2 linked regions of the Arabidopsis thaliana genome follow. The protein of the gene in region 2 interacts with the protein of the main gene of each other region in a biochemical or structural test. Each region holds a gene or a part of one and is shown on either strand. Other genes may lie near its edges.

What was found.
Region 1: the proteins of AT1G70750 (region 2) and XIK form a complex in vitro, tested with the Arabidopsis thaliana proteins (one study listed by BioGRID).

What each region holds. Positions count from the first base shown.
Region 1 is NC_003076.8:6,935,982-6,939,909, reverse strand, and holds the start of XIK (myosin family protein with Dil), read left to right. Parts: upstream 1-2,079; 5' UTR 2,080-2,529; coding exon 2,530-2,532; intron 2,533-3,345; exon of another isoform or gene 3,346-3,366; coding exon 3,367-3,495; intron 3,496-3,764; coding exon 3,765-3,908; intron 3,909-3,928. Other genes in the region: AT5G20500 (Glutaredoxin family protein), read right to left, coding at 245-321, 413-511, 659-732, 1,101-1,258. UniProt on the Arabidopsis thaliana protein: Myosin heavy chain that is required for the cell cycle-regulated transport of various organelles and proteins for their segregation.
Region 2 is NC_003070.9:26,681,289-26,685,216, forward strand, and holds the start of AT1G70750 (myosin-binding protein (Protein of unknown function, DUF593)), read right to left. Parts: upstream 2,068-3,928; 5' UTR 1,860-2,067; coding exon 950-1,859; intron 874-949; coding exon 739-873; intron 645-738; coding exon 1-644. UniProt on the Arabidopsis thaliana protein: Membrane-anchored myosin receptors that define a distinct, plant-specific transport vesicle compartment.

The sequences.
Region 1 (3,928 bases), on a different chromosome or scaffold from region 2:
AACAGTACAATGCACTTAAAGTTTGTGTGTTGTTCAGATAAGTTATTTGTAGCATGTCCAGATTTGATTCCTCAACCCAATTTGTATAACTCAGAATGTGGTCTTTGATAAGATACGTTTAAAAGGCAAGATCAAGCTGTCACAAGGTCATGATCAAGCTGCAGAACACAATACAAATGGAAATTGAATTGCTTACACCTAAGCATCACAGAGAGTGTTATCAATTCTTCCAACTATATATAACCTAGAGTTCAGCTTCTTTGTTCCCGGAAACACCAAGAAGCTTGGCGAGTTCACCGCTCTCATACGCATCTACGGTATCTATAACCAGAAACAAAGATAAATCTATCGATCAGCAAATGTTGGCATAAGCAAAGACGTTTTGTTGAAGGAAAAGGAGTGTTAAGTATACCATCTGATCCTCCGAGATGTTTTCCGTTAATGAAGACTTGCGGTACTGTTCGCCTTCCAACAATCTCTCCAAGTGCAGTCTGGATGCTCCAACCATCTTCTGCAAGACCAAATTTTTACCAACCATTAGTCACAAATGAATCTTCTACATAGTGATCGGACAAAGTTTCAAATGACAGAAATGTCTGAGAGCTAAGAAACATTGTTGGATGATGAAGACATGATTCCCTTTAACCTTAAAACACACCTCTTTCATCAAGCTCGACAACATAAGGAACTTGATCCAGCTCTCTGAACACTGATTTAGCTTTCTTGCAGTAGCTGTTGACCAAACCACAAGGAAGCAAAGGAAAAGTAGAGATGAGTCATATACATAGGTACATGATCTCTCTACACAACTCAATTAAGGCCAAAGGAAAAGCAAAGAGAACAAATACTGAGAACTGAACCTGAATATATCTTAAACGAAAATCCATATTGATTTCAACCACCATTTGTAAACAGAGATAACAAAGTTGTCTCATAAAAATCCAAATCTAACGAATACAAGTTCATTGGGTTCAAGTTTTCACTCATATTTCAGATATTAAGATCTAAAAAACAAAATCGCAAATTGAAGTCACCCAAGATCCAATTTTTCTGCGAATCGGATAAAAAGTGATTAAACATGAGCAGAGAAAGAGACATACGGGCAGTAGGATTTGGAGAAAATGACGATCTTATGGGAAGAGATAGTCTTCTTAACAAAGTCGGCTTCTGGGGACGAAGCAGCAGAAGAAACCATAGAAATGAATGTAACTAGTGCGACGAGCAGCATTACCATGGAGATAGATCTAAACATTGTCATGGCTCCTTTCTTCTTCTTCTTCTTCTTCAGATGCCAATTGAAGACGATGACTTGCAGGATCGATACTGTGGAAAGTAGGTGTAGGTGTGTTGTGGCGGGTACGGTTTAACCCGGCCCATCTAAATAAGGGTCGTATTAAAGCCCAAAATCAAGGTTATTGTTTCAGCCCAACCACTATTACATAAATTGGGTGAACTTAACAAAAACAATTATTTTTTACTGGGCTTCAAAAACATAGAACATTTTTGGAGTATAAAGGATGATAATGATAATGACATGACCAAAGCTGGTATTAGACGTCTTAACACTATCTTGCGGGTTCAATTTGATTTCCGCTAAACTAAGAAAATCATACATCATCCCAAAACCTAAAATTAATATTTGTGTCACATCAATTTTGAATATATGAGTCAAATCATTTGTAAACATTCTTCACAAGTTATATCCTATATTTTTTATAAAAGAGAATTTCAAAAACAGAAACGCTCGTAAGAATTTTAAAATATTTCCACATCTAACCAATCCACTAACGAAGACAAATTAGCCATAATTTACTAGTCTTAATTAAAACAAAAAAGGGGATAAAAGTGTAAAAATGAGCAATTCAAAGGGCAGAGACAAAAACAAAAGATGTAGTAATGTTTTTTTTATTTACGAAACAATCTTTGTTGTTGTCTGTGTGTAGACTCAAAGAGTGTTGTGGGTGGCTGACCACGAATGTGAATGTCCAACTCGATCCACCTCCCTTCTCCTCATTGGACCCCACTTGACCAATCTCAATTCTCAAGCACCAACATTTTTTTTGTTTGAAAACAATACACAAATAATAATTAAGAAAAAAAAGTGTTAGAGAGAGAAAGACACACAGCTCAAAAGAGAACATTGTTGTTGCTCGAGGAGAGAGAAAAACAAAAAAAAAAGCCATTAGAGAACGTCGTCTGCAAAGAAAGAAGAAGGCCAAGTCTAGCTTTCTTTCATTCTGCTTCTTCAACAATCAATCAGCTTTCTTGAGAGAGATTAAAAAATTCATTCAGATTCAGCTTTTTGAAAAGAATTTTGGCTCCGTTAATTCCGATCTCCCGATTTCTCCGTGTCTGCTTTGAGCTGACTTCAAGGAGAATTTTTCTCAGACACACCAACTCGAGAGAATCTGCCCGATCTGACTCGTCTTGTTGCCTGACTCGCTGAGTCAGCTTTCTGCAAAATCGGTCTCTCTTGGATGAGTTAACTGGGAAAAAGAGAGAGGATCTATTGGAAAAAAAGGAGTAGCCATGGTAAAATCATAGATATCATCATCCTCGTCGTTTTATTCAATTGCTTATTGTATTTTCTCAAATGGGTTTATGTTGGATTTAAATCAATTAAACGGATTCATTTTTAACACTTGTCCGATTTGGTGTTCGTTAGTAGAGATATCTTTGTATGAGGTTTGCGTTTTGTTTTCGATCCCTAGTTCGTCTTCCCATTAACACGAGAGATTCTCAATCCAACTATAGTAGAAAAGTTGAATTTTGTTATTTTGGGGAACATTATACAGTGTTATTGAAAGGTAAGGGTCAAGAGTTCTATAACAAGTTGAAGTTGGACCATTTCAGTTATCTTAAATTTCATTTCGTGGACTTATCATTTCCTATTAACATTTCACTTAGCGGCTCTCACCATTTTGGATTACTTCTATTATTAGTAACGAGGTTATGTAAGCTTCTATGTTAGATTACTGTCCCTTTATATATATGTTTCATCAGGAAACTTCTTCAGGTGAGACCATTTTTTTTTTATATACCTAAGTTTTATTTGATATAAAGGCTGAAGATTTAGTTTCCAGAATGAAGGAAACTGAGGGAAATGCGCAGTGTTATGCTATCTTTGTTGTGTTTCTAAGTGAGTGTTGTCTCTAGATTATAGGCAGTGTTATTGTCCTGGTTTTGCGGGAAATTTTAATCTATAACATTAGTTACTTTCGGTTTAGGTTCGTATGTCTGGTGCCATCTATTTCAACTGCTTGAACTGATGATATTTGGTATTTGAAAGAGGAACTTATGTAACAGCTTGTGTGAGGTTATTAAAATCTTTGTACCTCACGTCTTCAATATTTGTATCTTTTGTAGGTTGGCCCAGTCAATATAATAGTTGGTTCTCATGTTTGGATTGAAGATCCTGGAGCGGCATGGATTGATGGTGAAGTTGTCAAAATTAATGGCGAAGAAGTTCATGCACATACCACAAATGGGAAGACCGTAAGTTGTCTATCCTCCTCCCATGCTTTTGCATGTAAATTTCCTTTTGAGAAATAATGTCACTGGAATGAATAGGGTGTTTCTGCTTAGGGTGTCTGTTTAACTTTGAACAAAATGTCACTAGTCCTCTAACCCCTTTCCCTGTGGATACCGTGTTACTCCTCTAACATATGAGTTTTGCATGACATTGACATCCCTATTTCATAATTATATTATACAATCATTGAAACCAGATTATGTATCAATCAATCAATCAAATTTAATTTCAGGTTGTGGCCAATATCGCAAACGTATTTCCAAAGGATACAGAGGCTCCCCCTGGGGGTGTTGATGACATGACAAAGCTCTCATATTTACATGAACCAGGTGTTTTGAATAACTTGGCCATGAGATATGAGTTGAACGAAATTTATGTAAGTTGTTATTCATTTTC
Region 2 (3,928 bases):
ATATTTCCAATCCGTAACCCCTTCAACGTTCTTAAACTGTAACTCTCCATTGCTATTCTCATCAGAATCGCCATTATTTCTATACGAATCAACAGAGGAATCTCTCAATCTCCTCCTCAACATCCCCATTTTCTCTTTAGCTTCATACTCCTCCATTCTCTTTCTATACACCTCTAGCTCCTTCTCAAGCTCAGCATTCTCCTTCTCTCTATTCACCATAAGCTCATTCAACAACTGCAAAGCTTCTTGATCAAACTCAGCTTGCTCCTCCATCATTCTCTGATACTGCAACGCTTCCATCTGCATCGCAGCTTTCTCCTCATGCAACCTATTGATCATCGCCATTGTTTCACTGGCAGCAACAGCAGACGCATTCCTCTCTACCTCCAGCTCCTCGTATAACGCGTGAAGTGCTTTTCTCTCTTCTTGTAACTCAAACTTCAACTTATCAACAGTGAGTACTCCTTCAGGACATTCAATACCATCAACAGATACTCTTTGCTCTAAGTGAAACATAGCGTTATGTAGACTACTATGCGAGCTTTCCATCGAGCCTTGAGCTTCTAAAATCCGCTCTTCGTTGATGTTTAAGACTGGCATCTTGGTTTCAATCGTTACTGTTTTGAACTCCAACGTTTCCTCCTCTGTTTGGAAGAAGTAACGCATTCGTTGAAAATGTTAACTAGAGAATCAAGAACAGAGAAGGACTAACGCATACTTATGTTATAAGAAAATTACCATGATCATCGTCATCGTGGTGAGGAATGAGCTGGTGAGAAGGAATATCTCCGATTTGCTCATGATCAGGAATCTCTGTACCTATAGAAACCTCTGCGTCTGTTTCTTCGTCGTCGTTTTCCATTTCCGAAGCAACTATAAACAACTCACCAAACTTAGATACAAGGCAAAAAAAAAAAAAAGCACAAGTAAAAGCTACACGAAGATGTACCTAGATTCGTCTCTGCATCCTCCGGTTTCGATTCACCCGGCGAAGCAAAGTCGGAGATTTCCTCCGTCTCCGCCGCCGCCGTGAAATCATGCTCAACGCCGAAATCGAGGATAAAATCTCCGTTAATGTCGGAAATCTCTCGAACTTCTTCACTCGGTTTATAGAATTCAACTGGAATCAAATGACAGTCTTCTTCATCAATATAGAACTCGAGGTTTTTCGGAGCTGATTCTGCAGTTTCCACCTCTATAGGTAGATCCACTCTGTTTTCTTCTTCCTTCTCTGTTGCAATTTCTTTGTTCTTACAATCGAAGCTTGATACATAGCATGAAAACTCCTCATCAACATCATCATCTTCAAGTTTCTCATGAGATTGGGGAACTTTCTTCTCCTCTGTTTCTTCCTGAGAATCATTCAAATTTACAGATCCTACTTTCTCTTCTTCAAAGACGAAGATCGATCGAGGAAACTTAAGACCATTGTAAATCTGACCTTCATCTCCAATTGGATAATCTAAATTCCCAAAGTCAGACTCAATCGGAGCACATAGTGACGAACTTATCTTCTCTACGCAACAACCACGATGAACCAAATCATTGTGAAATTCTCCGAAACCACAATTAGATTCTTCAACAGGTTTTGAATGTAATTGGAGAGCATGATCATCGCAGAGAAGATCTCGATGAGAAGGAGATTTACCAGAAGCATCGAAGAAACGATCGAGTCTAGAGCAGAAGAGACAAGGACGTTTAAGACCGAAATAATCAGCGAATCTGAGTATGAAATAAGAAAAGAGAGAGTTGAGCAAAATGAAGAAAATGAGTGACCATTCGAGAAAAGCGTATACGAGGATTAAAGTGATTCGGTTTGTTTTCCGATGAATCAGAGTCGCGAATTTGTTAGCCGCCATAGACGACGATAAAGAAAGCTTGAGAGAGATAGAGAGATTTGTGTGGGGGACGAAGTTAGGAAGGAGGAGAAAGACTTGTCAGCTTAAGTAAGTTAGCCGGAGAAATCGGACCGACCATTAGTGACACTTTTTTATTTTATTTTAATTTGAATTTGACAACATTATATATATGAAAATGGAAATGAAGCTAAGAGTCAGAGAAAAAAAAAGGTTAGGATAATAACACATTTATGTATGTACTAAATTATTTAAAGGTTACGGGTAGGTATATATAATGGAAACAATAGTTGTTTGATATTAAGTTTTAGTTTATATAAAATAAGAAATTAAGTACTAGTAAAAAGATTATTGTTTATACTGGTTGACCGAGTTATTAATATTTTTATTCAATGTTTTGGATTCGATTTTATCTGATTACAGTTTTTTTTTTTTGAGATTTTAACCTTCCATTTAGGTTTTTTGCCAACACACCTTCCTATTTTAGGTTATAGTCTATATAGATTATTATTTATGTCTGTATTTTCATAAATAGTAAGTAATAACATATTTTATCAAATTATATTTAACAGAGTTATATATTTTTTATGTATTAGTTTTAACATATTAAAAAATAAAAAATTATCAATACTTAACATAAAAACTATGAATCCTTTGAAATTTATAAGAGGAGAGTGGATTAGTGTAGCGGAAAGCTACTGATTAATGATTTTATTTTTTGTCGTCAAGCGAGTGATTTATGATTAAGCATTGCTCGTGACGCAATCATACTGTTGAATTTTATTTATGTTGTTTAGCTTTTTCAGCAAAAGAAACAGTAGTTGATAAAAAAAAAAAACTTGCCACGTGGTTTAAATGACCCCGCCACTCTGCCTTTAACTTTGGAGGAAAAAAATAGAATGGGCCCATACATCTGACCCACATGCGCGTAAAAGGGCCCACACATTTTGAACCGGAAACCATAGTATTTTTCAGCGGAAAGAAACTTAAAACGGTGTAAAATAACGGTTTAAATCAATGTTAGTGAGGTTTAAAAACAAAATATATTTAAATGAAGTTATATGAAAGAGTTTTTTCACTAGAATTTTGTATTCGAGAGTTTCTCATTAGTAATTTAGTTAGGAGTTTTTAAATAGATGGACTAATATCTAACTTTTTTTATAATTAAAACTTTTATATTTAAAAGGTTTTTCTATTAATAATTTAACTAAGGGTTTTTAAAGTAAATTGGCCAATTCGTGAAGGATATTTCATTTAAATCCCCAAAAATTCATATTCATTATGCTGTCGTACAATGAATTGAAAATCGATTAATAAGAAGGTGGGTAACAAAATTTCCTTTAGTTTCCTTTTATTTAAGAACACCACTTTACTTCTTTCATTATTTTGACCAAGTTTAACTAGGCCCGTAAGGAGAACCATAAAGAGAGGACAAGACCTTGTTACAGCTTACAACCAAAATAAAGGAGACCACAGTTAAAAATAAAAGAGGTTTAAAAACACTTCTACTAAAAAACATGGTTGATAAAAAAGTTGGCGGTATCCAATTTTGAAAGTATGCAACTAACTATGCATCATTCATAAACAATTACATATGTAACGTGTGTAGTGTAGACAAGGTAATCGATATTCGAAATGAGCAAATAAATAAAGAAATTGTGATTAAAAAATTTTTAAGAGTTAATGGACCAGTCTAACATTATGTGCCACTTCATTTTTATATTTCACATCAAAACCGAATTCATTTTAATTAATTAGACCGTGTCCATTTTTATAAAATATTGACGGGACATTTCAACATTGTGTATGAATGTTATAATATTATTATTCTCTTCGTTAGCCGAATGGTTCACATTGACATCATAGGGACATACAAATATTGACTTTTTCGAAGACACATTACAATATATGTCGTTTTTTGAACCTCGTGGCCTTGTCAACTTATAATTTGCGTGTTTGCGAAGAGATAATCATCACCAAATGTATGTTAAACATGTAAGTAATTAATATTCAAAGGGGCCAGTATATCCCACTTAAACTTATACTATGTCAGAAAATTAATTAATATTATT